2 linked regions of the Astyanax mexicanus genome follow. The protein of the gene in region 2 purifies or fractionates together with the protein of the main gene of each other region. This does not show direct contact. Links are inferred from orthologs where the notes say so. Each region holds a gene or a part of one and is shown on either strand. Other genes may lie near its edges. The genes, in order: mrto4 and cebpa.

What was found.
Region 1: the proteins of cebpa (region 2) and mrto4 purify together in Homo sapiens (affinity purification with mass spectrometry; 3 studies listed by BioGRID and IntAct, with this or other methods). This does not show direct contact. The link is inferred for Astyanax mexicanus from reciprocal best matches to the Homo sapiens genes CEBPA and MRTO4.

What each region holds. Positions count from the first base shown.
Region 1 is NC_064431.1:3,983,802-3,999,542, reverse strand, and holds mrto4 (mRNA turnover protein 4 homolog), read right to left. Parts: upstream 8,184-15,741; 5' UTR 8,086-8,183; coding exon 8,058-8,085; intron 7,023-8,057; coding exon 6,964-7,022; intron 6,066-6,963; coding exon 5,962-6,065; intron 5,841-5,961; coding exon 5,759-5,840; intron 5,670-5,758; coding exon 5,602-5,669; intron 5,408-5,601; coding exon 5,256-5,407; intron 3,786-5,255; coding exon 3,709-3,785; intron 2,612-3,708; coding exon 2,459-2,611; 3' UTR 2,032-2,458; downstream 1-2,031. Other genes in the region: aflatoxin B1 aldehyde reductase member 4, read left to right, coding at 161-322; iffo2b (intermediate filament family orphan 2), read left to right, coding at 11,006-11,511. UniProt on the Homo sapiens protein: Component of the ribosome assembly machinery. Nuclear paralog of the ribosomal protein P0, it binds pre-60S subunits at an early stage of assembly in the nucleolus, and is replaced by P0 in cytoplasmic pre-60S subunits and mature 80S ribosomes.
Region 2 is NC_064430.1:12,441,111-12,456,888, forward strand, and holds cebpa (CCAAT/enhancer-binding protein alpha), read right to left. Parts: upstream 7,474-15,778; 5' UTR 7,173-7,473; coding exon 6,204-7,172; 3' UTR 4,693-6,203; downstream 1-4,692. UniProt on the Homo sapiens protein: Transcription factor that coordinates proliferation arrest and the differentiation of myeloid progenitors, adipocytes, hepatocytes, and cells of the lung and the placenta.

The sequences.
Region 1 (15,741 bases), on a different chromosome or scaffold from region 2:
GGATTGAGACTAGTTTTTGACTGTTCCAACATTTAGTCATTTACAAAACCTAAAGCAGGGAGCTTTATTATAGAAACCGCAGATTTAACTGTTTACGCACTGCTTATATTACATCATTTTTCTCCTATTCCTGCTTAAAAGATTACTGTTTATGTTTTAGGGGGATCTTGGTGATGGTGTGATCATTGGGATGTCCAGTATGGAGCAGCTTCAGGAGAATTTAACAGCAGCTGAAGAAGGTCCTTTAAAGCAGGAAGTTGTGGATGCCTTCAAAAACGGCTGGAATCTGGTGGCCCACGAGTGTCCCAGCTACTTCCGTTAGATTCAGGTTGAGTTTAAGGAAAATCAGTGTTTTATTCAGATGGTCTATAAATAATAGCAATAAGCACTTTAAAATATTATGAAAAAAATGTTTTAAGGAACTTTTGTAATTCTACAGACACCTGTTTGTTTAGATTTCCCTAATAAATATAATAATAAAAATAATTTGCTGTGGATTCCATATTTGTTAGCCCTTAAGTGCACATATAACGATATGCTTACAACTTTGTGAACTAGAAAATGAAAGAAAATTCTAATAATAGTAATTTAAAGTTTAAAAATATAGAAATGTTCAGTTTGGGGAAGCACAAAAAATTAAATGTATACATTTTAATTAATTTTTCCTTCTTTTTTTTTTAAAACCCACAAAAAGTGAATTACTAATTTATACTGTATAAATGGAACAGCTTAGGTATTTTTGGCTTGAGTTTTTAAAAAGAATTAGGAGGATTTTTTTTTTTTTGGTGTGACAATTGGTAACAAGAACAAACGTTTGTAAAATAGTAAAATAATTTTACAAAATTATGAAGTTGCACATTAATTATATTAAACATTTTTAATTATATCACACCTTGTTGAAAATTTGCTTCCACGTTTTGCTGGTTTGGATGGTTTAAGTTGGGCTTTAATAGCCAAGATGAAAAAAATCTGGGCAAAAACGCATCATATACTGTTAGCAGGTTAACCAGTTCTTGACAAGCTTATAATGTTGCATTTGTTCATGACTGCAGATCAGCTATATCGTTAAATTCAAATCGCGAAATTAAAGCATACCCTATACTTTTTTTTTTTTTTTACCATTACGGACCATCAGTAAATGTTCCATTTAATTTGTAAATCAAGAGAACAGAGTCTGGAGGAAGAGTGGAGAAACACACAGTCCAAACTGCTTTAGGAAAAAAATATACTTTTTTCAATTAGTTCCAAAGACAAAAAGAGAATTACTAATTTGTACTGTATAAAATAAAGAGCTTAAGTGTATTATGACTTGATTTTTTTTTTTAAAGAAAAAAAAATGCAGGAGAAATTTGGTGTAAAACATGGTAACAACCTTTGTAGAATAGCCCACTTCCGTTAGCCCTCAGTATTCTGAAATACAGCACTTTTACCTGATGCTTTCCAACTGTTGTTTAAAATATCTTTATAATATGCATATAATCATGCATTTCCACAGAATTCATTTAGCAAACTTTTCCCCCCCAAACTTACCTACCTATTTGGTTTGTGCTTGGCGGTAGGTTTTCACGACTACCTTCTAAAAATGTGGTGCCCCGAGACCTACCTGAAGTGTATATAAAGTGTTTTTAATAAACTATCTGTGCACTTTTAAAGTCCTCAGTGCCTTGTTTTAAATGCCAGGGCTCTCAGAATTCTACCAATAAAGCGTGGAGCTACTTTGAGCTTGTTAATGGTGCAAAATAGCCTTTTTTTTCTTTGCACGGGTAAATTTATGCCCCCATCAGTAGCATTGTAAGCTTGCTGGGAGCATCAGCTAAAAAAACGCTTTATTTAGGAATGCTGAGGGAGAACAGAGGTGAGCTATTTTACATAAATTTATACTCATTCACTCGTTTCACTACAACCCAAATCCATTTTAATCTGGAGTTCTCCTTTAAAATCTGAATATTTTTACTTTTTATTTTTTCAACAGAATAGCTTTCATTTTAATTATGCAAAATTCCAAACTATAGTAAATGCTGAAACACACAGTTAACATGACATCTGGATTGGATGGGATTTAATCTATTTTTTTTTCCCTGATATCCAATCCACCATTTATTTTACTGATAGTCATTTTGAGATCAATATCCATTAATAATTACATGTCATTTGTAAATGTGGAAGCTGACAGTTTTGTGAACAATTTCAAACAGCCCTATGTTTTTTTTCTATCTTATCAGAGGTAGTGGATTCCACACAGAAGCTGATAACCTCCATTATTGATGTATATTTTAAGGAAAGAATCAAAAACACAATGATGTACAAAACTGAACTTGCTGGGTAACGGTTAGTCTGGATCACACACTCCAGAAACAAAACACACAGATATATAACCTGCTGCTGAAGGTCTGCTTGCACAATCTGATATAAAACATCCAAGAGAAAAAGTCCATTGACCACACACTCCTCCTCCAGTTTATTCAATCCCTTCATCCTCCTCTTCATCATCCTCCTCAAGATCTCTCTGGTCTCCTTCATCACCATCCAACATCTCAAAGTCTCCAGATTCAGAGTTCCACATACACTTTATGCTCAATTTGAATTCGGCCATTTCAAACCCAAAGAGTTTCTGGAATAAATTAAGAGATCAGATCAGTCTCTGTGAATAGAATACTCTTCATTCACTTAAAATACACTCTTTAACATCACTTTTATTCTAAGTGTTTTTAAGGTCTTTATACAGATACAAAATACAGCTGCAAAGTCTCCAACAGATGAATTTTATATATAATATCATGCAGAAACATCTACTTAACCTGATCATTAATTAATGAGTTAATCCAAAGAGGCCAGCAAAAAAACACTGGTCTCTTTGGACCCAAATCGAAGAACCCTGATTTAGTGTAAACTGTACCTTCCTCTACAGCAAACTGACAGTTCATCATTATTTTTATTACATTTATTTTAATTCTGAAATGTACTGGGATTATCTAAATTCAATAAAACATGAAGCCACATTTTTTTAGGATGTGCAGAATAACTTTTTATAGAATTAATTACAACAGTATTACTTATAAGAGCAAGAAATACCCATGTGAAAATTAGAAACTAAAAAGTATAATTAAATGTATGGTTGCATAATGTATGCATTTCCACCTGTGAACTGCACATATACCTCTTAATGTTGTCTAGTACAGATTAGTACAGATCTTTTTTTTATGTTATTGTTTAAAAATAAATAAATAAAATAAAAAAAAAAATTCTCAATTGTTAAAATACGAGTGTTACAATTAAGATTCGTATTCCTCACACAGTTTACAACTTCAGTTGTTTTATTTTAAACAAACACCACCATGTAAAAGTGATGCACAAGCTGTAGTTTTCCATATATTTTATTCTTTTTTTTGTAAGCAGCCCCCTTTTATCTTAACTGCAGCATTTATTATATTAAACATGGTGCAAAAATAACCTCCTTGTATTTCAAGGAAAAGAGTGAAATATATATAATATATAATCACTGCAACATAAAAAAAGGTTCTTTACAGGTTTCTGACAGAAACAAATATCTATAAACTGAGATTCACTCTGCAGCTTCTATGTGTAAAGATGAACAGTCTCAATTATGCCATTTTGGAAATCACATTAAAACATTATTTTCATGAATTTAATTAATTAAATGAACCTCCCAGCCCTACTAAAGCCCGAAATGATGTCAAGGCTACTCACCAGGATACGAGCCTGTTCAGGAGTGAGCGTGTCTCCCTCTTTACACACTTCATAATCTTTTATTAATGTCACCACTCCTGCAAAAAAACACACATTATACATTTTCATTAGCATTTTGAAAATTCGGATTAAAATCAATGGAACAAATTAAAACAATTTCCCATTAATTTAAACATAACTGAGAGTCGAGGCTAGTGTCTGAAGCTCACCTCTTTAGAGTTATGGACTAATGTGGTTTATATGTAAATTAAGTTTGTAGAACCTGAACAGCACTGTGCAAACTATTCACTTCACTATCACTTATCTGATTACATAATCATCTCAAAGCTTACTTTTAACTAATTGCATCCTGTATCATTATGAATGAGGTGTTACATATAAATCAGCCTGGACGTCATAATATAATAAGAAATAACATGGTATTATATAAATCGTATTATACAGTCATAAGCCTGTCTTACAACATTAGGCAAGTTATTAGATTATTAGGTTTTATTTACATTTTTGACTAAACCTCCAAAGTTATATTATGTTTTTGGGTGTAATTACATTAGTGGGAACTTAACAAAATCCATGTACGTTAAAAGGAATCTCAAAAGTAGGTTTATTTATGTTTTTTCTTCAAATGTATGACACACTTATCCCTATAAATGACAAATGTATGTCACCTGGCTAAAACCAGCAGAATCAGCCTTAGCAAAAAAATGAAATTTGTCTGTACTGGTATGTTCTTTAGTGTTTAAAGTGTGTTCTTCAGTGTCAAAAACTACTTAAACCACCAACAGGACAGCATTTTTGTCAATTTTCTTTCTGATATTACCTGCATAAATCTTGAGGATTTCTATTAATTGATATTTCTATATTTTCTAATTTAGCGTTACATAAAAAGGTTTCGTGCATGATAAGAAACATTACTAAATATCCTAATTGTAAGAAAATATTTACACATTTAAAAGTAAACCTGTCTAAATAAAACAAATTAAAAAAAAAAAGTCAATGTGCTTTCTAAACCTTATTTTTTTTAAATCAATATTTTCATCATACAAACATTGCTTGTCCTCCAAACCTTTAGTTTCGTTACAGATGTCTAGTCTTTCATGTATACTTTCAGACATGCAGAATTTGGGTTTTTCCTTTTACTAATCTGAAATTAAGTAAAGTAGAAAGAGAGTGGACAGGAAGTTTCTCCAAAGCCCTAAAAGGTTTGTATGTAAATGTAAATAACTTTTTTTTTTATTGTAGAGAAATAGGGTTTTGTATCATCTACATTTGTAGCCTGTATACGGGCCAAGGCCTTTTAAGGGGATAAGCCAATCAACTGAGATTACTTAAAAAATTGACATTATTTGATGCATCTGCTGATTTAGGCATGAAATTTGACGTTGGCCTCGTAGTTGCTTAGCGTAGCTTAAGAAGCAAACAATGCGTGGTCTCTGATTTTATAATAGAATACTGTAAAATGTGATTTCTAGCAAAATCAGAGATTAAGTTGGTTTAAATCATTTTAAATGAAAAAACTTTTTCTCCAAAAGCTTTTTTTTTTTTACCTTTTTTGAGAGCCGTGGGCAGTCCTAACTGTCTGAGCTGGGGCTCCATAGAGTGTGTGAACTGTTCTAGCGGCCCTTCGTCCAGCGTCACCGCCATCTGTGCAACATTACCAGACCGTGCGTAATCTACCTCCTTGAAACTGTTAAAATACCTAAACAAGGACACAAACATTCAACACTGCATCAAAATGCGAGATTTGAGTTTATTTTAACCCCATACAAAAGCACAGTCTATGAAAGAAGATAATTAAGACAATTTATACTAAATCAAGGCAGGCAGACTTGGGTGCATCTTTTGGTTCAAAGACCATGTGTTTTTTCATAATTTCAACACTATAGCACTTACTCTTGGACCTCCTCCTTGGTTTTGTTCGTGAACAAGACGCCCACCTCTCCTCTCAGAAATTTGCTGACCTATAAGACAGACAAGCACAAGGTTGTAAACCCAGCACAAAAGCTTCTTCATAACTTTATTTGTGAATATAGTTAAATAATTTGCATACCCGGTGCAAATTATCCTTGTATTCATCTGTTGGTCCTTTCCCGAGTGCGATCATCATCACCTTATTCTTTCCAAAAAAGAAACTTAAACACAAAACATGCATTTATATTAGAAAATACACAACTTAGCATTCCAGCTGTGATAAAATACACTAAAACAACGGGGTTTCAGAAAATTCAGTAAAGTATATTTAGTATCTCTCACCGGCTGTGTTTCCAAGCTGCTCTGATATCTTTCAGTTTGTTGTTTCTCATGTTTTCCACAGAGAATATGAACACGTATCTGTATGTGTCTACACATTTTCTGAGCTGGAAGGAGAGATGATGATACACAAATTAATACATTAACACATATATCAAATCAGGCATTACAGAATATTGCATAGCATGAAATATAACATGTTAGGCACTATTTTATGGTCCTTTTATAGATTACAAATCTATCAACCTACCAACAAACCAACCTGATTATAGAATGAATATACTAGTGTAATATACCATCAGTAAATTTTACATTTCATTTGTAAATCAAGGGAGCAGAGTCTGGAGGAAGAGTGGAGAGACACACAGTCCAAACTGCTCGAGGTCTCGTGTGAAGTTTCCACCAATCAGTGATGGTTTGTTTGGAGAGTCATGTCTGTCATCTGCTGGTGTTGATCCACTGTGTTTTATTATCAAGTCTAAAGTCAGTGCAGTTTTGTTTTCCCACAAAATCTTACAGCACTTCATGCTTTCCTCTGCTACTGACAACTTTTATGGAGGTGCGGATTTTATTTTCCAGCAGGACTTGGCACACTGCCCACACTGACAAAAGTACCAATCGGTCTTATATAATATCCTTAAATTTTTAGATTTTTGGGTTTTTATTGGCTGTAAGCCATAATCATCAACAATAAAATAAATAGACGCTTAAAATAGATCGCTCTGTGTTTAATACATCTACATAATATATGAGTTTCACATTTTGAATTGAATTACTGTAATAAAATAATGTGAATAGTTTTCAATGATATTCATTTTTTTTAGATGCAATAGTATTAGCTCTCTAGATGTTGCAGGGAAGGTCATGGTAGGACACTGATAACATTTTAAAAACAGTAATGTTGCTCTTAACAAAAATTAATTGACGTAAATGTGGGGTGTATTAAAAATAACTAGACCTAATTTTACTAATATGAAGAAAAAAGAAAAAGAACAAAACACTAACCTCTTCAATCAGGTTCTGCTTTGCTTCTAGACCCTTTTTGGCTGTTTTTGTCAAGGAGACTGTAAAGAGAGAAGGTTGATTAATTAATAAAAAGGCACAAAACATATAAAAAAAACTGATCCACAGACCCATACTGAATAAGTTAACTGCGTTCACTAGTTCACAGCAAGCTAACAGGGGTAAAATAAGTGTAACACGTGTAGAAAGTTAACAAAGCATCACCAGCTACAGCCTAACTGTTAGTTAACTGTTATTTATGTACAGAAAAGGAAGAAAAGACAGAAAACAATCCATATTTTTACTAAAACTAAAACTAAATAATTAGTTCCTGCTTTGCTTCTAGACTCTTTTTGTCTGTTTTTGTCAAGGAGACTGTAAAGAGAGAAGGTTATCTAATTAATGAAAAGGCACAAAACATATAAAAACACATTACAACATGATCCACAGAGCCATACTGGATAAGTTAACTACGTTCACTAGTTTACAGCAAGCTAACTGTTATTTATGTACAAAAAAGGAGGAAAAGACAGAAAATAATCCATATTTTTACTAAAACTTTTACTAAAACTATTAAAACTATTTTGTTTTACTAAAACTATATAAATAGGTTCTGCTTTGCTTCTAGACTCATTTTGGCTGTTTTTCTCAAGGAGACTGTAGAGAAAGAAGGTTTATGAATTAATGAAAAGGCACAAAACACATAAAAAACAAACATATAAATACACATTACTACATGATCCACAGACCCATACTGTTTAAGTTAACTACGTTGACTGGTTTACAGCAAGCTAAAAGGGCCAAAATGAGTGTAAAAAGCTAACAAAGCATCACCAGCTACAGCTTAACTGTTATTTATGTACAAAAAAGGAAGAAAAGCCAGAAAATAATCCATATTTTTACTAAAACTATGTACATACACACAAACACACACACGCTGGTAGTGTTTAGCTCCTGCCTGTTAGCCAGGCATGCTGCCCAGCCGTTTCTCTGTAGGTTTTAATGCTAATCTAAGAAGAGTCAGTGACTTCTTTAAGAATAAAGCAGATTATTGAGGTAAAATATCGACGAAAACACTTTTAAACCGGTTTAAATACCTTTCTTATCCCTCTTCGACTTCGGCATGGCTCTCACGTTGCTCTCTCTCTTCTTCTAAGACTTAGAAACTGCGCTAAAACCCCGCACTGCCCCCTACCGCAGCCTGCAGAGCCTGAGAGAGCATGTGTGAAGCAGGAAGCAGGTATGTGATGAGAAAGTTACAGCTCTTCACCAACAGGTGGCGCCAAAATCAACAAAATAAATGAGTCTCAAATTTCCAATTTAATGCTTTCACTGATTTGGAGAATTCTTCTAAAGGATTGAATATAGTTAAACTATATTGCCCATTGTATTTATTGTATTTATCCCCCCCCCCCCCCATTGTTTATTTATTTAATAAAAATTCGCATTACCTGCATTTGCGTCCGCCTCCACGTCTTTCTGCCTGCATTCCCTGACACATTAAAACATTCATTTTACTGTGGAACGGATGTTGGATGATGTGCTATGGATTACAATGCCACTTTAGCTCATCCCTAATGCACTGAATGGAGGTCCATCACTCCATAGAACACAGTTCCACTGCCACACAGTCCCAAAACGCTCGGGGGTCGTTATACTCCTCTAGCCAACACCGTTCTATTGGTCAGTGCTTTTCTATGGAGCTTATCATACATACACTCTGTACAACAGTATGCCTGACTAGCTTTGTCAGCAGTATGTGCAGCTTGTAATAGTAACAGGAGGCCTGTCTGGATACTATTGAAAATATAATGTATTTACTGCAGTATTGCAGCCTGCTTCTTGCCACGGCTGCAAAACCTTTAAAATTACTCAATATGAACAAATATTTTCCATTACAACAATCTTTCTCAGTTTAAATTAGTTAATCTACAAAAGTGGATATACAAAGCATATTTTTATTGCTCTAAAGCAGAAGAATCAGTATTTTTTGCTAGGTAAGCTGTACAAAACACACATTTCCTCTGAGTAAATGTAAGGAGAGTTGCATCTGAGCCACTTTGTAGAAATCAGATTATAAAACAGCCCACGGTTATGTAAGAATGTACTCATATTAGGTGTGTTTCAAGAGCAGGTACTGAGATGCTTCAGAGAAATGATTATTTCTGAAGGATGCTCGAGACTGCACACGCTTGCAGGGTTATATAATAATTTGACTCTTCTCTAGAGATGATGGCTCATTAACCTTTATTATATAACGATGGAAAGACAGGTCATAACATACAGCAATAGGCTTTTAAGCTTTTGCAAAGAATGAATCATATCTTGTTACTGTGGCAAATATACAGAAACCCATCACATAGGATACTTTATAGTTCTATATAACTACAGACTGTAGTCCTGTATCTGTTTACTTTTCTATTTACATATTTTATTTGTTACTTTATTATTATTATCTTCCTTTCATCCAGTTTTTCACCACAGAGCAGCTATTACTGTTATTATTTTGATGGAAGGTCTTATTATTCTCAGCACTGCAGTGACTGTACTTGCATGGTGGTGGTGTATGAGGTGTTAGTGTGTGTTGTGCTGGTACAGGTGGATCAGATACAGCAGTGCTGTGTCTGTGACGTAGGCGTAGTTTTTTTTTAATGCTATTTTTATTTTATATAAAGTTGGTGTAATAATCACAATATAGCAAAGTAACAATTCAAACTATGTTCATAAAAAAAGTTGCACAAGTGCGCCGTGAACACTCCACTCTGCCTTACGCACTTGACTTGTTTGTGTTTTAATCTGTTGGAGATCTATTCTTATTCAAAAGGTTATTTTTACTGGAGAAAGTATTTTTTTTAGATGACTTTTTACTTCTACTCCTCACATTTTCACACAATTATCTGAACTTTTTACTCCCTAAATTTTAAAAATAGATTGGATGAGGAGTATAAACATATACCATTGCGACACCCTATTGGTTTATACTGTGATATACCTTTATACTTTTTTATATATTTTTATACCTTTTAACAAAACATAATGAATTCCATGAAGATTTATAAATTCTGGAACATTTACTTCTCAAATTATGACATTTTTGAGCAGCTCTATGTCTTCTGGTATGAAGGAAAATAATAGCATGTGGCTGTCTCCTAACATAACTGTGTTATTAAACAAGTCAAAGGGGAACTGACAAAATAGGCTGGGGTTCAAATGGTTAACATTTTAACCTAATATTATAGACAATATGGTTTAAATTTTTTTTTATACTTTAAGCAGTTTCACATTTTTACTTGAGTTAAAATAATATATATTATTTACTTTTATCAAAATCTATTAGTTTATGATCTTATTCCTCAGAATCTGAACGCATAGGATGGGCATGGAACGAATGTAGGCGTGGTTTATGCAATGGGCGTGTTTGTAGTGGGCGTGGCCTGTAGCCCTGCAGTCCGACTCCTGCCTCTGACCGGAGGGGGGCGTGGCTCTCGATGCGGTCACTGCGCTTTAGCGCCGCTGTAATACGACCCGTTATCTGCTGGATATAAACCAAGAAACCGGGCTGCTGAATTTCTGCTGCTGCTACTGCTGAAGGAGCACGCGGTGAGAGGAGCTGGAGGTGACAGCTCGGGGAGGTGACAGTGCTTTATTATTAGTAGTATAAAACGTGAGTTTTAAGTGATAAAAGCTGAAATAAAACTTTTATTTTATTTTTTTGCGATTTCTCAGGATGAAGTCGAGCTGACCCGCTCTTGAGACGCGAATTAACTAACTGGATGGACTGAATAATTACAAACTGGTTAAAAACTGCTGAAACATGCTGAAAAGATAGGAAAATACGCATAGTGATGGTGGAGTCACTCGCCGTCACTGTTCCGCTTGAGTTTGGAGGTTTATTGGATGTTTTAGACGTGGGCAGACGTTAAAAACAGTGGGTTTGGACTGTTCGGATAGCTAACTAGCGCTAGCTCTATCATACAGATAGAGCGGCTGGCTCCAGTACCGCAGCAGCCGTACCGCAGCGCTACACACAGTGGCTCAACCCAGGATGAGCTCGCTGCTATTCGGCGACGGTCTGCCCCCGGCCGCCGCGATGCTCACGACCCTCCCGGGAGGTATCGGTGGTATCGGAGGGTCCGGAGCGCCCGCAGCCGCCCTGAGGAACGACCTGGGCTCCAACATCCACGTCCTGAAGACGCTGAACCTGCGCTTCCGCTGCTTCCTCGCCAAAGTCCACGAGTTGGAGCGGCGGAACAAGCTGCTGGAGAGCCAGCTGCAGCAAGCCGCCGAGCGGGCCAGGTACCACAGCCTGTTCGCGCGGGACGTCGCGGTGCAGACCGACTCCCCGCAGGAGCCGCGGCTGCCCGGCACGATCTGGAGCTACACGCACGTGCGGAGGTCCGGGGAGCGGGTGGAGACCCTGCACGGGCCCGGGGTGTCCTGGACCCATCCGGACGGGGTCGGGGTGCAGATCGATACCATCACTCCGGAGCTCCGAGCCCTGTACAACGTACTGGCCAAGGTGAAGAGAGAGAGGGACGAGTACAAGAGAAAGTAAGTGTCCTGTTTAAATAAGGCTAGTTTATATTTTTAAATGATGAGTGATTTCAGCACTCCAGCATGTTTATCTTCATGTGCTTTCATACTGCATAAATTCATATATATGCATTACAGCCTACTGTGTTTATACTGAGTCCCAAATAGGGGGCCCTAAACAATTTTACAACATTACCATATGAAAAATAGGGAAAAAATATTTAATTCATTTCAATAATATACATACTTCTGCAACAAAACACATGTTAAAACATTGTTCTTCATTCATTTATTAATTTCGTTTTTGTTGTTTTGTAGCAACAGAAACTTAACAACTTACCTATTATTTTTTATTGCACTACTGTACAGATCTGGAAAAAATAAGAGACCATTTAAAATAATGAGTTTCTTTGATTTTACCAAATTGTGGCATAAAGTGGCATAAAGTTATCCAAAAGCAGTGTGTATGCTCATTTTACTCAAACATATACCTATAAATAGCGACATTAGAGAAGCAGAAACTAAACTGGTCTCTTATTTTTTTCCAGAGCTGTACTTAAGTACTAAAATACTGTATCTGTATCTCCTGGGGTATTATATTTACTTCACTACTGTACTTAAGTACTAAAATACTGTATCTGTATCTCCTGGGGTATTATATTTACTTCACTACTGTACTTAAGTACTAAAATACTGTATCTGTATCTACTGGAGTATTATTTTTACTTCACTACTGTACTTAAGTACTAAAATACTGTATCTGTATCTACTGGAGTATTATTTTTCTCCTACTTACACTTTTACTTTACCACATATGTTGGATGAGTTTAATAGTTTTCCTCCGATACATTTTTTATGTGCTGCATCATTACTCGTTACAGTTATTGATTACTCAGATAGAAATAGAAGAAGTATCAACTCATGCTTTTTCTCAAGTAAAAGTGTAATAGTAGTGGTTTCAAAACTAAACATAATTTAAGGTGAAATATGTGAGATATTTGCCTATGTGAGATAAAGGTCTTCTAAAGTTGTTTTCGAACAGTCTTGAATGTCTGGAACTTGTTGGCTGCTTTTCTTTTGCATGTGTGGTCTAACTCATCCCAAGCCATTTTAATTGGCATTAGGTCATGTGACTGTGGCAGGCAAACACTTTTGGTATTCTGCATTTTATCCTACAATGTAGAAATGAATAAAGATAACCTTTGACTGGTTCTGATTATATATGGCTTTAGATTGACTTAGATCTCTTGAGCCCCAGTCCAGGCCCAATGCTATAAAACCACAGCTGGTCCTGAAATTAGTTAATACCTACAAACATTGACTCCTTGAGTACAGACTGATTTACAGTACAGTCCTGAAATCTGCCTTTTTGTAACATTTCCCAAACATGGCAGGTCTACAGCTTAATAGAACTGCACTGGATTTAAAGCCTCTGCTCCATGTTTTTTGTTGCTGAAGGCAGACTGATTCATTGCAGTGGAATATCTTGGCAGCAGAACAGCAAAAATGACCAGACTGCTTTAGAGTGGAACCCAAAGGAAGGGGCGTGTTTTTAAAATGTGTTTTTGGAGGACAGGCTTTGATGAATAAAGGGTATTGAAGGCTCTTGGTTCAGCATAGCTAAGTAATTCATAGCCCACAGCAGGGGTCCTTAACTCTAGTTCTGCGAGGCTGGTGTCCAGCACAGTTTCCTTAGTCAAATACTGGATGTGGAATCACATCATGGAGTCGTTGAGTGATGGGATGAATCAGATATGTGTCAGCTGGGAAATTACTGAAATGGACAGATGATTTTCCTAGATTTTAGTAATATCACATGGTCATTCAGGTGAATTAATACTGTATTTGTAAGGATGTTATACTTACAAACCATGGAAGGAATTGAAAATGGTGCACCTTCTTAACTTTTTAAGTTTTCTAGCAATATTTTGATAAAATATACAGTCAAAGACGTTATTAATATGGAGACTATCTCTTGGAACACTAAACTTAGTCGCTGTTTATGGATAGTCAAAGTCAAGCCCTTCAACAAAAAGAGCCAATTCAGTCCAATAGAGATCAAGTGTTGGCATGCTGGTGGGGAAGCCTTTCCTCATTATGGAGATCTGTGCAAGCTCACTATCCATACCAGTATGAATAATCTCATTTTTTGTGCTTTATTAAGACAAACGCTACTACTAGTCTTTATCACGATTTAAAATGTCTTTTTTAAACAGTAATCTGACCTTCAGTTTCCAGAATTGTGGTCTCTCCCTATTCAAATAGATGAAAAGCTGGTCCTGCATAACTAGAAATAACTTAATAAAGTTGGTCGCCAAATTGATTGACTTTTCTGTAATGACGTTGTTCGGATCTTTGGCCGTTTGGATCAGGATAGTCACAATTACACAGTAACAGTCAGGCTTAGCAGAGTTGCACCAAGTTAGCCATGATGCTATAAGCCTGGCTCAGCAGGGTTGGAGCAGCAATGCTAACAGTTGGCCTAGGTAGAGTTGGAGCTGCAATGCTAACAAACATAGCATTCAGGCTGAAGATTCTAAAGTGTGTTTAGTAGCTGCTTTTCCTGGTCTTTGTAACACCATTGTAATAATCAAGCAGGAGAGGCTTAATAAACAATAAACAATTAATTTTGGTCTGAGATACTGGTGCATTAGCATGTGGCAGAAATTATTTACTCTCAGAACTCACATATTGTTCCTTTAAATAGTGTTAAATAGTTGTTTTTCCATAGTTGACTGGCTTTCTTATAATACATACTTGGACATTTCTTGGAGATACTTCTGTAAAACTTCTGGCTGTAATTACCTACTTATGGATACTTGATCATAAATGGCTAAGGTGTTTGAAGTTGTTTGGAAGGAATGAATATGGGACATTTAACTGAACAATTTTCTGTGGATATTCAGTACAGAATCATATCCTATTTTAACGCAGTGCCACCTGAGGGTCCGAAGATCACCAGCATCCAGTATGGACTGTTGGCTGACTTGTACTTTACACTGAATCTTTTGATGATGTTATGTACTGTACGGTATATACTCTGGAACCGTCCCACACTGGAGGCACTAGAAGCCCCCTACACTTCCCTGTTTTCCCCTCACACACAGTATCATCAGATAATTATCACATCTCTGAGCTGAATCACTTGTGGCAGAAAAAAGGAAACAGTAGTCGCCAGTTTATGAGAAGGAAACTTCTCTTCTGTGTTTTTCAGGCTTGTTTGTTTGTTAAGGGAGTTGCCTGGAGATGCTTCTGTAGAACTTCTGGCTCTAATGAGCAGCGACTGAGCCGTATGTGGGCGCTTGATCAAAAATTACTTAGGTGTTTGAAGTCATTTGAAAGGAATGTGGGACATTTCATCCTGTTCTCTGTATTTTTCTGCATTGCTCTCTTTTCTATGAGCTTTTGGGATTCATTTGCTTTATGAAAACAGTGGACATTCACCAACAAATGGCTGGCTAAACATACAGTATACTGCGTTGCCACTTTGTTGGGAAAACATACAGTACCAACACTGTATCAAAAGTTTGGAAACATCTCTTAATATTCAATGTGTTTTCTTTCTTTTAATGATTTTTTTTACATTGTAAATTTAATATGGAAGACTATTTAAAAACTATACAGGAACACATGCAGAATTATTCTGTAAACAAACAGAATATATTTTATACTTTAGATTCTTCTAAATAGCACATGTATCTTTGAGGACAAATCTGCAGACTCTTGGTGAGATTTTAATCTCAGTATCTTCATGAGGGAGAGTCCCCTGGAATAGTTTTCTCAGCGTCTTGAAGGAAGGAGTTCCTGGAGGTGCTGAACAATAGCTGCTGCTTTTCCTTCACGCTGTGAAGCTCCAGCTCATCCCAATTAAATCACCTCAAATCACCATCTCAGTTCATCAGGTTTAGATTAAGAAAGAAATAAAGAAAAACACTGAATGAGCTCTTGACTGGTATTGTACCTTATACCTGCAGCAGCTGGCTACCTACAATATGCATTATAAATTAAAATAATTTTTAAAAAGTATTTAGAAAGAGTTATTTGAATCATGTGGAACACAGGAACCCATTTTGGTTCTCATTTTGGAGAACCACTTATAAAGTTAAATGATCTTCACATCAGGTTTTTACTAGTGTACGGATGTTTTTTCATACAATGCTTTCTTAAAGAAAGTGTAAAGAACCTTCTATTAGGGAGTAAATACACTTTTTGTGGAGTTGTACATTTAAGACTTGATGTAATTATACG
Region 2 (15,778 bases):
AAAAAGTGAATAGAGAGAGAAGAAATGCAAAGCGAGAGCAGTGAAAAGAAGAAAAAAAGAGAAGACTAGTAGAAAAGGGGTGGGGGTGGTGATAGGTGGAGGTGGAGAGGGTTTACTGATTTGAATCTGATGTGTTTGTGAGGGGTGAAGTAGGTGCGTGCGGGTGCATTCCTCCAGCACCATCATTCTCTCCTGCTCATCAGAGAGCGTGTGGAGGGCTGATTTACTCACTCAATCACACTCTGCTGCTTATTGTGTTCAAACACTGTGAACGGCAACAGGAGAGCCGATGATCAAGCCTCCACAGGTTCCACACATATCCTTCTCTCTCTCTCTCTCTCTCTCTCTCTCCCTTTCTCTCTCTCTCTTTCATGCAAAGCTCAGACTACACACCATTTTTTGTCCCTCACAATGTTCACTAGGTCAGATTAAGCAGTTATCTTTGTTTTGTGTCGTACTGGCAGCACACAGTTCGTAGGTCATCGCGGGAGAGGAGCATAGAATCTGACAATCATGGCTACCGAAGCGCTTTGAGTGATGGTAGTGCTTTTGTGCTTAGAAAAACACAAAAAGAAGAGGAAGAAGCAACTGTGGCCTCTTTCCTGGATGACCCAAAGAGATCATCAAGGGCTTTGTGTACTCCAGAGAGAACTTGAGGTATAGTAAAGATGTAGCTACTTTAGCTAGGTTTCAGTGCATGGAAACAGAATAAAGGAATGAACAGAATAAATAAATAAAGAATATAAACAGAATAAAGGCAGGGTATTGATGCCACAGCTCAACAAACTTTTATTCTGTTTCGCTGGTCCAGAAAACTTCTCTTTGACTACAGGGGTTGGACAATGAAAATGAAACACCTGGTTTTAGACCACAATAACTTATTGTCCCGACGGACAGTTCTGGTGGAAAGAGGAGAGTTGAGGTGCACATTGAATTCTGCCGTGATTTGATCAGCCGTGGTTTTAAGTTTTTTTGGAAACAATCCGGGTTAGCACCCGAACATCCCTTTCAGACAGCTTCCTCTTACAGCGTCCACAGTTAATCCTGTTGGATGTGTTTTGTCCTTCTTGGTGGTATGCTGACATTACCCTGGATACCGTGGCTCTTGATAAATCACAAAGACTTGCTGTCTTGGTCAAAGATGCGGCAGTAAGAAGTGCACCAACAATTTGTCCTCTTTTGAACTCTGGTATGTCACCCATAATGTTGTGTGCATTGCAATATTTTGAGCAGAACTGTGCTCTTACCCTGCTAATTGAACCTTCACACTCTGCTCTTACTGGTGCAATGTGCAATTGATGAAGATTGGCCACCAGGCTGCTCCAATTTAGCCATGAAACCTCCCACACTAAAATGAAAGGTGTTTCAGTTTCATTGTCCAACCCCTGTATGTCATACTACACGGATCCGACGAAATCGGGCTAAATTCGTGTAGTCTGATTCGGGCATTAGGCTTAATTCTTTCTCTGTCTCTCTCTCTCTCTTTCTCATACACACTCACTCACTCACTCACTCACTCTATCTGCCTCTTTGGAGTTGCTGTGCTTATCAGTGGTGTTCAATTGTTGATCATACTCTGACAAATTGATCAATTCAAAGATGAAGACAAAAGCCCCAATCAATCACTGGTGTTGACGAACGGTCAGGAAGATAGCGGCTATCAGCTCCGCCGATGACGCAGCAGTGTAATGTGTGATCTACAGCATATGTAAGAGCTGATAGTAAATATTTGTTATAGGGGATGATTACCACCGACACACTCAGGAGCGCTGACTGCGCTGCTTAAACAAGATTAAGGGGATTTTAGAGCCTCCAATCCGGTCCAATCAAGTCCAATCACTTTTAGGAACTTTAGAGGCTCCTCCATTTGAAACTATGAATGAACCCCATAGCAGCCATAACAATATATTATTATTCAGTTCAGCTATTGTTCTGTTATTAATCCCAATGCAGAAACAACTGTTAATGAGCTAGTTTCCCTCAAGGTCTTGAGTCCTACAGGGTTCAATTTTAAGGCCCTTGAAGAAATAGATGATACTTATTATTAACAGTGTTGTTATTGGACATGTGGGTTTACATAGAGGGTTAAAGGGGTTAAGGTGCTTTGAGGAATCTCTAAAAAAAAAACCCAAGGCGGAGAAGTTTTAGAGAACTCCATCTTCGTTATTGTTATGTGGATTGGGGAAAATTAGTTTTAATAATAAAAAAACACTGATGTCACAAAACACACCTTTCTGCTATTGCACTATTGTCTAGTGTCTCTTGTCTGACATATGTCTGTCTATAAACTTTCATTCTTTTATGATTTATAATTGTATTTTGCAGTACTTTAGTCAACTATTACTTTGTTTTTTTGTTGGGTGTTTTTCTGTAACTTTGGGAAAGAAAGTAACCAAAGTTCTCTGTAATGTACATATCATCGCTGTCCAATGAAAAACAAGTACCTCCATTTTTGCTGATTTTTAGTTTACTACAGAATTTGAACAAACTGTCCCTTAAACTGTCAGAATGTCTTGATGAACGGACCAATAGAAATACTTCAAATTCCCTGAAACTTGAAAGTCAATTTTACATTGACTTCCATTGAAAGTGTAGAAGGTTTTTTCTCTTTCCTGTAAAGTCGCTGTTTTGGAGATACTTGCTTTTCATTGGACAGTGACAATATGCAGAATTGACAATGAAATTTCTTAACTTGATAAGTCATAAAACTACAACGTATACACTTTGATATCAGTAGCTTTCAGGCTGTTCAGAACATATGAATATGAATATGAATGCATGTAAATGCTGCTTGTTCTATTATAAATACATAGTACGCTATTTTGATTCCCTTAATTAAAACCCAGAATTCTTGCACGGAACACAACTTTTAAGAAGCTGTATTAGAATTAAACTTCTACCCTGATGTCTCATTTTATGCAAGTTTTTTTTTTTCCTTTTTGAGTAGGGAAATGGGTTTCAAATGTAAGTTACTCTGCTAATCTCTGTGTTGACTGAAATATTTTTAACATATCAGGGGAGAAAATATCTGTTTTGGAAAGCAGTCTTTTCTTTTAGGTGGAGGTGGAGAGAGTTACTGTTTTACTTTTTCAAACGTATTTCTGTATTATGCGTCCTTCTTTATAATTTGTGTTTGCATGTGGATAGAAATATATTTTTTTAATGTAGGAAACCAAATCTCAGTTATTTAATACATATCCAGATGTGTCTAAATGTAGTATTAGTGGAAATAGTATTTGTTTTTAAAGGGAAAAGAGAGGGTGATTTAAATGTAAATCTGTAATTCTTTCTAATGCTTATTTCTTTCTATTTTTTTCTAATTCTCTGTGGGGACTAAAATATATGTTTTTAAAAAACAGAGGGATTTTTTGGTTTTAACCAGATATGTGTGTATGTAGCTTCAAGGGAAAGCTGTTTTTTTCTTTCTTTTAGAAGGAAATATGTTGTTTTAAACATTCAGTTTCTTTCTTTCAAAGTTTTACCTCTTCTCTTTTCTGTCTCTTTGTGTAGGTGAAAATATTTTTCAAAATGTATGCAGTGAAATTTTAATTTTCTTACTGCACCTTATTTTTTTAATTATGCTGTACCGCCCCTATTATTGTTGTTTGTGCTTCTTTAGAATAAAAAAAATATCTATCTATCTATCTATCTATCTATCTATCTATCTATCTATCTATCTATCTATCTATCTATCTATCTATCTATCTAATGCTTCTCTCTTTTTCATTTTTGTCTTTGTGTGGACTGAAATTTTTTTGGAGGGAAATGTGTGTATAAAGAATGGAATCTAACCCTTTAGGTGAACACTGTAGAATATAATGATGGTAAATGTAAGAATTGGTCACTTTCTAAGGTAAATGCATCAATTGTTTTTGGTGTGGTGGCTGTGGATTCATTTGAATACAGTTAAAGAGTGAATGTCTGTCAGTTTTGCACACTGTAAATGTGTTGAAACCTGGACCTACATCTGTATCTAGACATGGTGGGTTTTTAATGATACTGCATTGTATTCTTTGTATCAAAACAATGCCAGAGTTACAGAGTTGTAATCAGCAGTGTTTTCAACATGACTCATGGAAGTTAAAGAAGTCAGGCGACTTACAGGCGCCGTCTATTGGCAAACAGTATAACTGCACCTGAGTAGATTTGCTTAGAGGCAAGAGCAACAGGGGGTTGATCCTCAAGAGACTCAGAGTCTTCAGCTTTAGAATCATTACTGTACTGTAACCTTTAAACTGCAACATGCAGGGTCTCCTACAGCATGTTAGCACAACACACAGTTAATAAGTGGTCAAACGAGCATTATAGTAAATGCTCTATTTCTTTCTCTAGCAGTTAACCCCTTAAACTCCTTAAACTGTGTATAAGCCCACAATTCTAATAACAACACTGCTGTCGTAATTATCATCAATTTCATAGCCCCCAAAATTGAACCCTGTAGGTCTCCAAATGATATGCTAAACTAAATGATTACCAAATCATTCACAGTTGTTTCTGCATTAGGATTAATAACTGAACAATTTCTAAACCAAGTCTAGAGTTTGTGGAGTATATATTATTATAATTTTTTTTACTAAACTGGTTCTTAAATATGTCTTGAAGCTGAAATACACAGATACCAACACACGTATCAGTTCAAAGGTCTGTTGACCTTTGTAAGCACTATGGAAGTAAGATAGCAGCAAGAGGAAATGTAACACAATACTCTTTTTATTATAATTTGTAAATTTTTGGCATATATAATGTTCATTTTACAATTGAAAAAAAAAGTATTTTTAAAACATTCATATAACATTTGCAATAGGCGGTTTGTAAAAAAGTGCTTCCTTTTCCTTTGCTCTAGCCTGTATTTCAAAGATTTACAGAGTCCAAAAGATAGAGATAGAAACAGAGAGAGAGAGAGAGAGAGAGAGAGAGAGAGAGAGAGAGAGAGAGAGAGAGAGAGAGAGAGAGGGACATAGAGAAAGAGAGAGAAACAAGTTCTGCCAGTGGTGACATAGAGACAGGAAAAGTCGAAAGGCACTGAAATTCAGTTCATCAAAAAAAAAAAAAAACAATAAAAAAAACAACAAGAACATGAACTGAGCTACAAACAGCACTTCACGGGGGTGGGGTGGGATGAGAAAGCGCAGGGTGACCCCTTCTTTCCTTTCACACTCTTTTATTCTTTCTTTCTCTCTCACACACACACATACACACAGACTCACACACACCCTTCCACCCAGCATCGTTACTGCATAAATACAAAGCTTGTACACATCAGTACCCCGAAAAAATCGTGCGCTCCGTCAGGTCCATCAGTCTGACCACACATAGTGCATATAATAAATCCGCTGCTCTGAAGGCAGCAGTTTAGACCACAGTTTAGAGAGTTTGGGCTTCCAGTCCTTTTGCTTTGGCATGGCATTGGCATCATGTTCAGTCCGCTTTACGTACACATACAAAAACGCATACATACAGATACATAACCCCCCAACCGCCCCAATACCACCGGCCCCCCATAGACCACATCATTACAGTCAAAATACATCCCAGACTACAGTACTGAACTATGGTTCATCTGATTATCTGATCTGCGCACCTTTATTTCTATGTCTTTGCCTTGCAAGTTTTCAACAAGTTTCGATGTCTGCAGATGTTTAGAACAACAAAACAAAGTTTTTTTTTTTTTTTTTTTTTTTGTGCACGTGCATTTTGTGTATTTGTCTCTAAGAAATAACACCAAATAGGCTCGTGCACGCAGAGCAGATTTATCTTTGCAGAAAATAAAACATAAAAAGACAGTCTTGGAGGGGGGATGAAGGTGGTGGGTGAAGGTTGTGGGTGATGGTAGAAAAAGTTGGTACCTTTCAGAACCATGAAGGACGGTTGCTTGAAGTGAAATCATGCCCTACGTGAGCTGCACTGATGATGACTATGATGATGATATGTTGGCAGAAAAGACAACTTCAATACAGCCATGAAGTCCACAAGTTCAAATATGTGCAGACATGAGCTTATTATTATTATTATTAATATTAATATTATTATTAATAATATTTTTTTTGTACAAAAGGCACATGTAGACCGCAGCTGCCTGGCTCGTGTGGAAAACACTTTTTTCAGTATCGTGTCGCGCGTCTTTGAAGTCCATCCGGCGGACGCTGTGAGTAGCGGAGCTGAGAACCGAGAGGGGAGAACCGAGAGAAACCGTCCCCGTCAGTTCAGGCGCAGCCGCCCACCGCCTTGGCAAACGAGCCGTCGGGCAGCTGCCTGAAGATGCCGCGCAAAGTCTCGAGCTCGCGCGTGAGGTGCTCGACCCGCTTGCGCAGGCGCTCGTTGTCCGATGCCAGTTCGACGACCTTCTGCTGCGTCTCGGCGTTGCGCAGCTTCGCCTTGTCGCGGCTTTTGCGCACGGCCACGTTGTTGCGCTCTCGCCGCAGCCGGTACTCGACACTGCTCTTGTCCACGTGCTTCTTGGACTTGGAGCGATCTCCGCTCCCTCCACCACCACTGCCTCCTCCTCCTACCAGTTTGATGGAGCCGCCGTGCTGCTGGTGATGGTGGTGGTGGTGCTGCTGCTGGTGGTGGTGATGGTGTTGGTGGTGCGGGCTGGGCACCGGGGTGGGCGGTGGCGTCGGGTGTCCCGGCGGCTGCAGGTGCACGGCTGTCTGCGCGCAGTGCGCGATCTGGTACTGCAGGTGTGGAGGATGGTGGTGTCCGTGCCCCTGTTGGTGCGCGTGCTGGTAGGCTGGTGGCGGCAGCGGCGGCATTGGTGGCCCGTGGCCGGCTTCGTCGTCCTCCCGCGGCTCTTGCTTGATGGCGAGCGCGGATCTCATGCGCGCCTCGTACGCCGTCTCCAGCTTCACCGGGTCCACGTAGCCGCCCGCGTAGCCGTAGCCGTGCGGCGCGCCGTCCCCGTAGCCTCCACTGTAGTCACCCGCGGCCAGCTTGAGCTTGGCGTCGTGCCGTGCGCCAAGTCCCCCTGCGCCGCCGCCGCTGCTGTGGAAGAGGTCGGCGAGGAAGTCGTCGTTTAGCGCTGCTGGGTCGATGTACGCGCTGATGTCGATGGAGCTCTCGTGCTCGCAGATCTCGCTCAGGTCGTCCTTGTAGCAGTAGGCGCCGTGCGGGCTCGCAGAGAGGGTGGTGAGCGGTGGCCGGGGGGCAACCTCGTACAGGTTGGGCTGCTCCATTGAGGACCTAAACGCCGCCGGCCATGGTGACGAGCTCCGGGAATCCAGTTTAGCGGGCTCTCGCCGACCGTCCGTCCGCGTATAGGCGCGCCAGCCACTCCGCCGGGGGTCCCGCTCAGGTCCCGCTCGCTCTGCACGTGTGAGCGAGCGCACTTGTGTGTGCGTATGGGTAGGTGGGTGGGTAGGTGAGTGAGTGAGTGAGTATGCGTGCGTGCGTGCCTGACTGCTTGCGCGTGCGTGTAGAGCAGCAGCACCTTCTCACTGAGCTCGTGTGCCTCCCGTCTGACACACAGCGAACTGCTCGAGCTTTTTATAGAGCCGTGTGCGCCGAGCTGCACGGCCGCGCCCCTGGTCCTAACGCGACACACACACACACACACACACACACACACACACACACACACATACACACACACACACACACACACACACAAGGGAGACAGAAACTAACGCACACGTACAGCGTGCAGTCCTGGCAGCACCTCATATTCTGAATACGAGAGTCGATTTTAAGCGCATTTACACACACTTACAGAGAGAGATATCCAAGAGATATATGACTTCAGATTGTTCATGCAAATCCCCCAAAAAACACACATCTGTCTTGTTTTAACGAAGCAAATATTATATAGCCTATAACACACACTGTATATTAGCCTTATATAAATATAACTTTCACTTGGAGAGAGTGACACAAAATTAAGTGAGAAAAGAGAGAGGGAAAGAGAGATAGACAGACAGAAAGAGAGAGAGAGAAAGAGCTGCAGACTCCGCTGCAACAGAACGAGTAAGTAAGCTGTATGCCTAACTGCACACTCTGAACAACGGCAACAATCAATATATATAACCACTAATAATAATGATAATACATATATAGGCAGTTTCACAGACAGGGATTAAGTCTAGTCTTAAATCTAGGACTACACAGTATTGTGAATGTAGATTTTCTCTATTAAAAGGACAATATAAAATAGTATTTTATTAGGCTTAATCCTTGTCCAGGCATAAATAAATAGCCTATTGCTTGTATTTACCAATATTTTAGTATATGTACAAAATATATAGCTACAGTCTTATATCGTATATATCTACAGGATATTGTTATAATGTATATGATCTATACATATTTTTTATTTGATCTGCACGCTAATAATCTTTATTGCTAAAAATTTAGATAAAAATTTATCTAAATTTTTGTATCTGTTTAATTCGACTGAATTGTACACTTGATCAGGAACGTGCTAATAAAATGTTTATTAGTTTATTTGTATAGTATAACCTGATCTATTGAAGTTAGTTTCCTTCTATAAAAATAATATAAAATAAATAATAAAAAATAGCAAAAGCACAAACCTTTAAAAAAACATGAACCAAAATGATTCTGCACTGGTTCTTTCGCAGCTGACCAGTTGTACTGTGGGTATCTCTGTCTGATAGTTCTGCAGCCTCACAGTAAAACGCAGTAAAAATGTTCAATGCCAGCTTTCAGCAGTTTAGAACCTTAGAAATCCAAAACGCATTTATAGATGCTGAATCTAATATAAAAAAAACTTATAAAAAATGAATAAACAGTATAATGATGCATATAATGATAAACGTTAATCTAAACTTAAAATCAGTAGCGTGTGTGATATTAAAGCGCACAAAAAGTGTGCGTGCGTGCGTGTGCGTGTGTGTGTGTGTGTGTGCGTGTGTTCACCTTCAGTCTGCCAAATCAAACTCGTCGACAAACTCGCGCACATAGCGCACACACATAGCCTACACACGGTCGCGCGCGCACACTCCCACATCAGCGCAGAGGGCGAGCGGGGAGCTCCCTCTACCGCTACAGCGCGCGACACCAGTGCTTCATTTACATATTAACATACACATCCCACCAGAACGTGAGCTGTTTCTGTAATAACCGGTATCAGACTGGAACAGTTACGGTAAACTCGGAAACACAGCGCACACGAGGAGATCGTTAAATAAAAACATCTTCACAATAACCGGACATTGTGTGGGACACTGTTTTCTGTTTATGTTGAATTAAATGACTTGGCATGATTAGCTAAGTCTTGGTTGCATTGTTGTCTGTAATGAACTTTAAAAAGTTTAGATTGCATTTCATATAAAATCAAGTACATTGTAAAAAAAAAACAATTTAAAGGTTTGAATAGCTGAAAGTTGGTTAAACAAAAAGCAACAATACGTTTTATGTTAACAAAAAATGTAGCAATGTGGAAAAAATATGCATTTGGTGGCCGCTGAGATAATTTACCTGATTGGCCGGCATTCATATTTTGGCTAGAAATGTAAATATGTACAACGTCATTTTATGGGTAAATCTAAGTCATGCTAGACACGTCCAACACAATCTGAACACGTCAGAAGCTGCTCATTAACAGATTTCCTGAAACCACACTGTAGATGGTGAACATAAATAGGACAGATAAAAGGTTTAACACCCTCCAATAAACTGGACTGCACATTAACCCATTCAATAAATTCACTACTCAATTTAGTAGGTTATGCATGATGATGTTATCTTCCATGTATAAAGTACTGGAGACCTGAATAAAAAGTGCAGGTGCTCTATCAAAAAAGTCACTTGAGTAGAAGTTGAAGTGTAGTTTAAGCTCTACAATTAATGTATTTAACATTTACTGTACTTAAGTACTGCAATTAGTTTATTCCAAAATGTAGTACTCAAGTACTAAAAGTAAAAGTATTGTGTTATGTAGTTCTTACAAAAAGCAGTCAAAAGTTTGAATATAATATTACAGGCAAGCAGCAGAGTGAAATGCAGAATTGGAGCAGTGTGGTCTTCTCATAAGACCAGCTTGATCTCTTGATTCACTCAGTGATGACTGATGAGCACCTTCATCAAACCCAGTGACAGTACAGAGCATCTGCCGCTCTGGCTTTAGTGATAATGTGTGTTTGGAATAAGTAACAATGCAGCACATAAACATTTATCAGTGTAAAACTTAAGTACTACTTCATTACTATACATCTCTGATGACTACGTTTTACATTCTTAATATTCACATACATTGGATATTAAACTGTTGTGGTCACAGTCAATAGGAGCTGAGTTCCTAACAATTACGTTAAAATATTAGACATTCTACTAAACAAGTTCTGTTTTTGCCCTTTCTAAAACACGGATACAGCCTCATATTCACGTTACCAGAAAGTGTTTCTAATCAGATTTTTTTTGCCTTAATGTGTATTAGGGTTGAGTGGACATTTCAAAGCCATCCAGACTTTTTCAAATAAGATTTGAATAAGTAACTTTTATATGTGGTCCAATATTGCATATCTATTCTATCTGTATTGTATCTGATTTATTTACTTTGCACACATTACAGGACCCATTAATCAATTCAGATTTTTCGCTCATATTAAAATGGTGATCTTGATGATTCACATTCATTAATGACCCTGACAGAATCTGACTACCTGACAGAATCTGACTCTGTGGCTGTTGTGAAGGAAAGTTTAATTATAATAGTTATTCATAAACAGAAACAACAGGAATCATAAGCATAATCTGTTGTGCCCATACTGCTTACTGACATGCATGCACAAAAAGTTCAGCACAACACTGGTGCTGGCTAATTATGATTAAAGCAGGGGCTTTAAAAAAAAGATGCATTAAATCTGATCTGGGCGTTCACATTTATGTTGTTTCCTCACAAATTTAATATGTATCTGAACACACGTGAAAAGTAGTCAAATCTGATTGTCATATTCACACCGCCCTAAAAAATCAAATCTGTGTCAGTTTGATTTGACACAAAACCTGATTTGAATCACTTCATCCTGGTAATGTCAAAATAGCTTTTTATTTGTGATCCTAGATCAGATTTCTTTTCTGATTTGGTGACATGCGAGATGATTGTGATGGTTATATTAGATTCCATGCACTGAATACACACACAGAATAGCAAAATCACGGTAGGGGTTAGTGTATTATTATATGAATATAATATAATATAATTGTACAACCCAATAGCACTTAGAGAACTCTTACTAAGGTCTCATAACTTAATTATCTAGGACTAAATATCTTCAACTATCAACAGCTACAAGACAATCAAAGCAAAGTGTTTTAAGGAAAGTATTTCCTAATTCATAAAAATAATTAAAGTAGTCAAGTTGAGAACTGCTTATTGGATTTCTGGAAAGCCTATTTCAACTCGTTTTTAAGACCTTAAAATTTCTGAAATATTTAGCATACTCTAAAGTAGTGGTGCGCCGTTCTACTGTGCAGTGACACCTACAAATATATGGAAGATGGAAGAAAAACTTTCCTTGCCACAAACATCAGATTCAGAAGTCTTTAAAAGAACACTTAAACAAGCCTGATGCATGAAAACATGCCCAGTGTACAGATGTAGCAATTTACTGTAATAGATATCTTGGCCAGGGGTGCCTTAACCTTGGCATACAACTGTAATTCACTGCACAGTGAATGACCAAATCTGTCCAGGCTTAACTACACTTACAAAACCCCAATGGTTCAGGGTAGTCCAACTACAGCTTTCTAAACTGCTGATAATGTGACATCATTAGACAGCTAAACACATTTGGATATTTGCAATTTGACCTAATTTTCTCCCCAAATTGTAAGGGCAATTACCCAGTCCCCATTTATTTGAACTCCCTCTATCACTACAAATGCCCCTCAACACTAAAAGGGTAAAGACTTACATATGTCTCCTCTGATACGTGTGTTATGGGTCAGAACCTGCCTCTTATCAAAATACCTCTGATGCAGCATCACTGGGGATGCACTCAACTGCACTCAGAGGAATGTGCAGCACCCGAGCTTCGACACATCAGCTAACAGATGCCTGTGCTGACCAACAACACATTAGGAACGATCTGGGAGAAAGGGCGACATCTACCCACACAGAGAGAGCAAGGTCAGTTGTGCTCTCTCAGACTCCGTCTGCTGATGGCAAGCACTATGATCCAATATTGGAACCAATGATCCTCAGGTCACACTGTCTGCTGGTCTCCCAATTCTCTAATATCTGCTAACAGATGCTTGCACTGTATAGTATTGTGCTAAATGATGGGGCAGAGCCAAATAACAAGACCAAAACTGCTAATATCATTCAAAAATAAAAGGAACTGATCTATTCTCTATGTTATAACAGTGTAGTATAACTTAAAAAAGGGATGCCGGATGGGGCTGTACTATTAACTAAAGCATTAAATTTTAAAATAATGTTATTTGTGTTGAACCAACCCATGCAAGTTACTGATACACATTTGCATAAATATGCTCTCATTAATAATATTTCCTATAATAATTACCCATCCAGCCCCACAGCTGTGCTGAAATTGGTGACTCTAAGTCAGAGTTGGCCCAGTAATGCATACTGGCTGGATATCTGATTACACTAGAGAATGTGTGTTTCCATCCGAATGGGTTTCTAATGGCAATAGGGAAATTCAGAATGTATTGGGGACAAAGTAAAGCATTTCCAAGAGTTATAGAGACATGCCCCCACCATCCCTGATTATTTTTTGCTAATTTTACCAAACTACACACTAGTCTAACCTCATGTCACCACTGTAAACAATAACAAAGGTAAATAATTCTTGATAAAATACAATGCGTTTTAGATTTATATTTTTTAATTTACAGCATTAACAAAGCTCATTATGTCTGTCTAGCATGGCAACGTTTCAGTAGACAGACAAAAATATTTTCTTTTTTTTTTGTTTTAACAGGATAAGCCCACCATTAGAATTTAAAATGAATTATATGGATGAATATAGTAGCAAGCAAGCCAGTTGGTTAGTGAGCAGCCTTTTCCAAAAATATATCACACCCTTATTGGTGGGCCAACCTTAGGTTTCAGAGCTGGTACTCTGTTAAAAGTAGAACTTCTTTGAGGAGGTTCTTCAGTTTAAAGCAGTAGAGGAACCCATTAAGGTGCTTTAATAAAGAGTTTTCTTCTAGAAACCTGCTTTTTTTTAGTCTGTGTTGTGCTGGTACATTTTGATCCAACATAGCTTACCAGCATAACAGCCTGTCTACTGGAATTTTGCTAAAGTATGCTATTTGTTGCAAATTTAACCACTGATTTAAGTGCTAGTGATGTCTGTCTATTCTCATATATTCTGGTTGCCAATCCATTAAGCAACTCCTTAAAATACTAAAGTCCTGTAGAGTGGTTCTGAACCCTAATGCTGGACTACAATGCAATATTGGTATTTTCCTACACCCCTACAGGTCAGTGATACTTCAGGAGCAGAAATAAAAATATTATATAGTGCTGTAAGGAACTTTACACAGCTTTTGAAGGGCCTGTGACACATACATCACGATAGCCTCTTTTGGATTAAGAACAAATGTGATTATTTACAATTAATCACAGAATAGTTTTTAGTCAATTAACATCACTAGAAAAAATCTATAAAAATTACATAAACATAATAGAAAAACAAAAAATAGAAACATATTGCTGGAGTAATGCCAAAGGCAATTTGGCAAAATAAACATAATAAGTCACCATCTGTCACCATCGCAGACAACAGGGAAACAGCTTAAAAATATTTTTATATATACATTTTTTATGGAGCCTCTATGGAGCCTTAAAAATATATATTAATTTGTGGCCATTGCTTATTAAGGCATGTGAACAAGATCCTAATGCATGGGAAAGACTTATTAAGGTGTCAGAACAAAATACAGTGCTGGAAAAAAAATAAGAGACCACTTAAAAATGATAAGTTTCTTTGATTTTACCAATTTGAAAACCTCTGGAATATAATCAAGAGGAAGCTGGATTATCACAAGCCATCAAACCAAGCTGAACTGCTTGAATTTCTTCACCCGGAGTGGACTAAAGTTATCCAAAAGCAGTGTGTAAGACTGGTGGAGGAGAACATGCCAAGATGCATGAAAACTGTGATTAAAAAACAGGGTTATTCCACCAAATATTGATTTCTGAACTCTTAAAACTTTATGAATATGAACTTGTTTTCTTTGCATTATTTTAGGTCTAAAAGCTCTGCATCATTTTTGTTATTTCAGCCAGTTCTCATTTTCTGCAAATAAATGCTCTAAAAGATTTTTTTTTGTCCGTAGTTTGTAAAATAAAAAAACAACGTTCATTTTATTCAAACATATACCTATAAATAGCAAAATCAGAGAAACTGATTCAGAAACTGAAGTGGTCTCTTCATTTTTTTCCAGAGCTGTAATTGAGTCATGGCCGTATAAGTTGTCCTTTTCTTTTCTTTTCTTTTGTCTTGTGGGCTTTCTTGTTATGCTCAGGTGGGTCGTGAGGTGGAAAAGGTTGAGAACCTTTACTCTACACAGTTCACTAACAGCACCGCTCCAGCTGAGCATAATTCACTCTCTATGATCTCATGACTCTCTTGTTACATAAACACGCCCTGAACTGTGTCTCACCGTCTGATTGGTTCAGCGGGCTGTCGGTCAAAGGCTGCATTTCGTCATCCTGCCCGGCGCTGAGCGCTGATTGGCTGAGCGGGCAGACTTCCCTACATGGTAAAAACGATTTCGCAATCCTGCCAGGCACGGCTCAGTGTACCAAACAATAACAGCTCCGCTGATGTCTCTGTCCCGTCAACTAGAGCGGCTACGAATTTACTCACGGTTTTAGTGGATGACTGAACCCAGGATCTGAACCTCGATCAGGTAAGACGGGTAGAAGTGTGTCTGAGGGGAGAAAGAGGAGAAAACCGGAGTGGAATTTTAAGTACAGAGATTCCTTGTAGTCCTATACTCGGTTAGCTAGCTGGCTAACTTGTGTAGCTAGCTGCTTGTTGCTAACCGGACCGCAGAACAGGTTTCATTACTGCTGCTTTACAGCAACACAACTTCTGTAGTTACAACGTTAGCTTAGCTAATATTATATCCTATACTTAACCTCTTTAATGACACTTACTCTAAGATTGGGGACTGTTGTAGGACACTAACTAGCTAGCTAAAAAACACGAGTTAGTTATTAGCTGGCTAAACTAAAGCTAGTTAGCAGCTAGCAGGGCTGTGTCTTTTGACGTAACTAAGCTACTGTATGTAGCTAGCTAGCCGTACTTATTGTTAGGAATGTGGCTAGTCTGCTAGCGGCTAACTGGAATGTAACATAGCTAGCTAACGCTAACTAAGCTAACCAAGTTCATTCCTGTGTTCTGCCGAGTTTTGCTCCAATGTCAAACTCTGCTACTCTAGTGTAGGTTCTATTGAAATGTAAAATAAATGACGTTAAATAAGTTAAATACAAAATAACTATCATAATACGTTTGTGTAGAACATTTGGATAGCCTAAATTAGTGTGTCTGAGTTAATAAAGTAAAGTTCATAATAATAAAAATAATAATACTAAATAATAGAGGTTACAAGAGTTTTTTTTCCTTTTTGTTTTTATATGAACTGCCTGTTATACGTTTATAACATTCTAAAAATCCAAGAAAAATAACAATAAACTAAGGTTGTGTAGGTTAATACACCCGAGTAAAACAGAATTATATATTTTTAATAATTATAAAAATGTAAGGGCAAAGGGTCAGCGCATGCGCAGTGCTGAAGGAAGTGCATATCGATGGGTTGCAGAACTAGACAGAACACCCCTTAA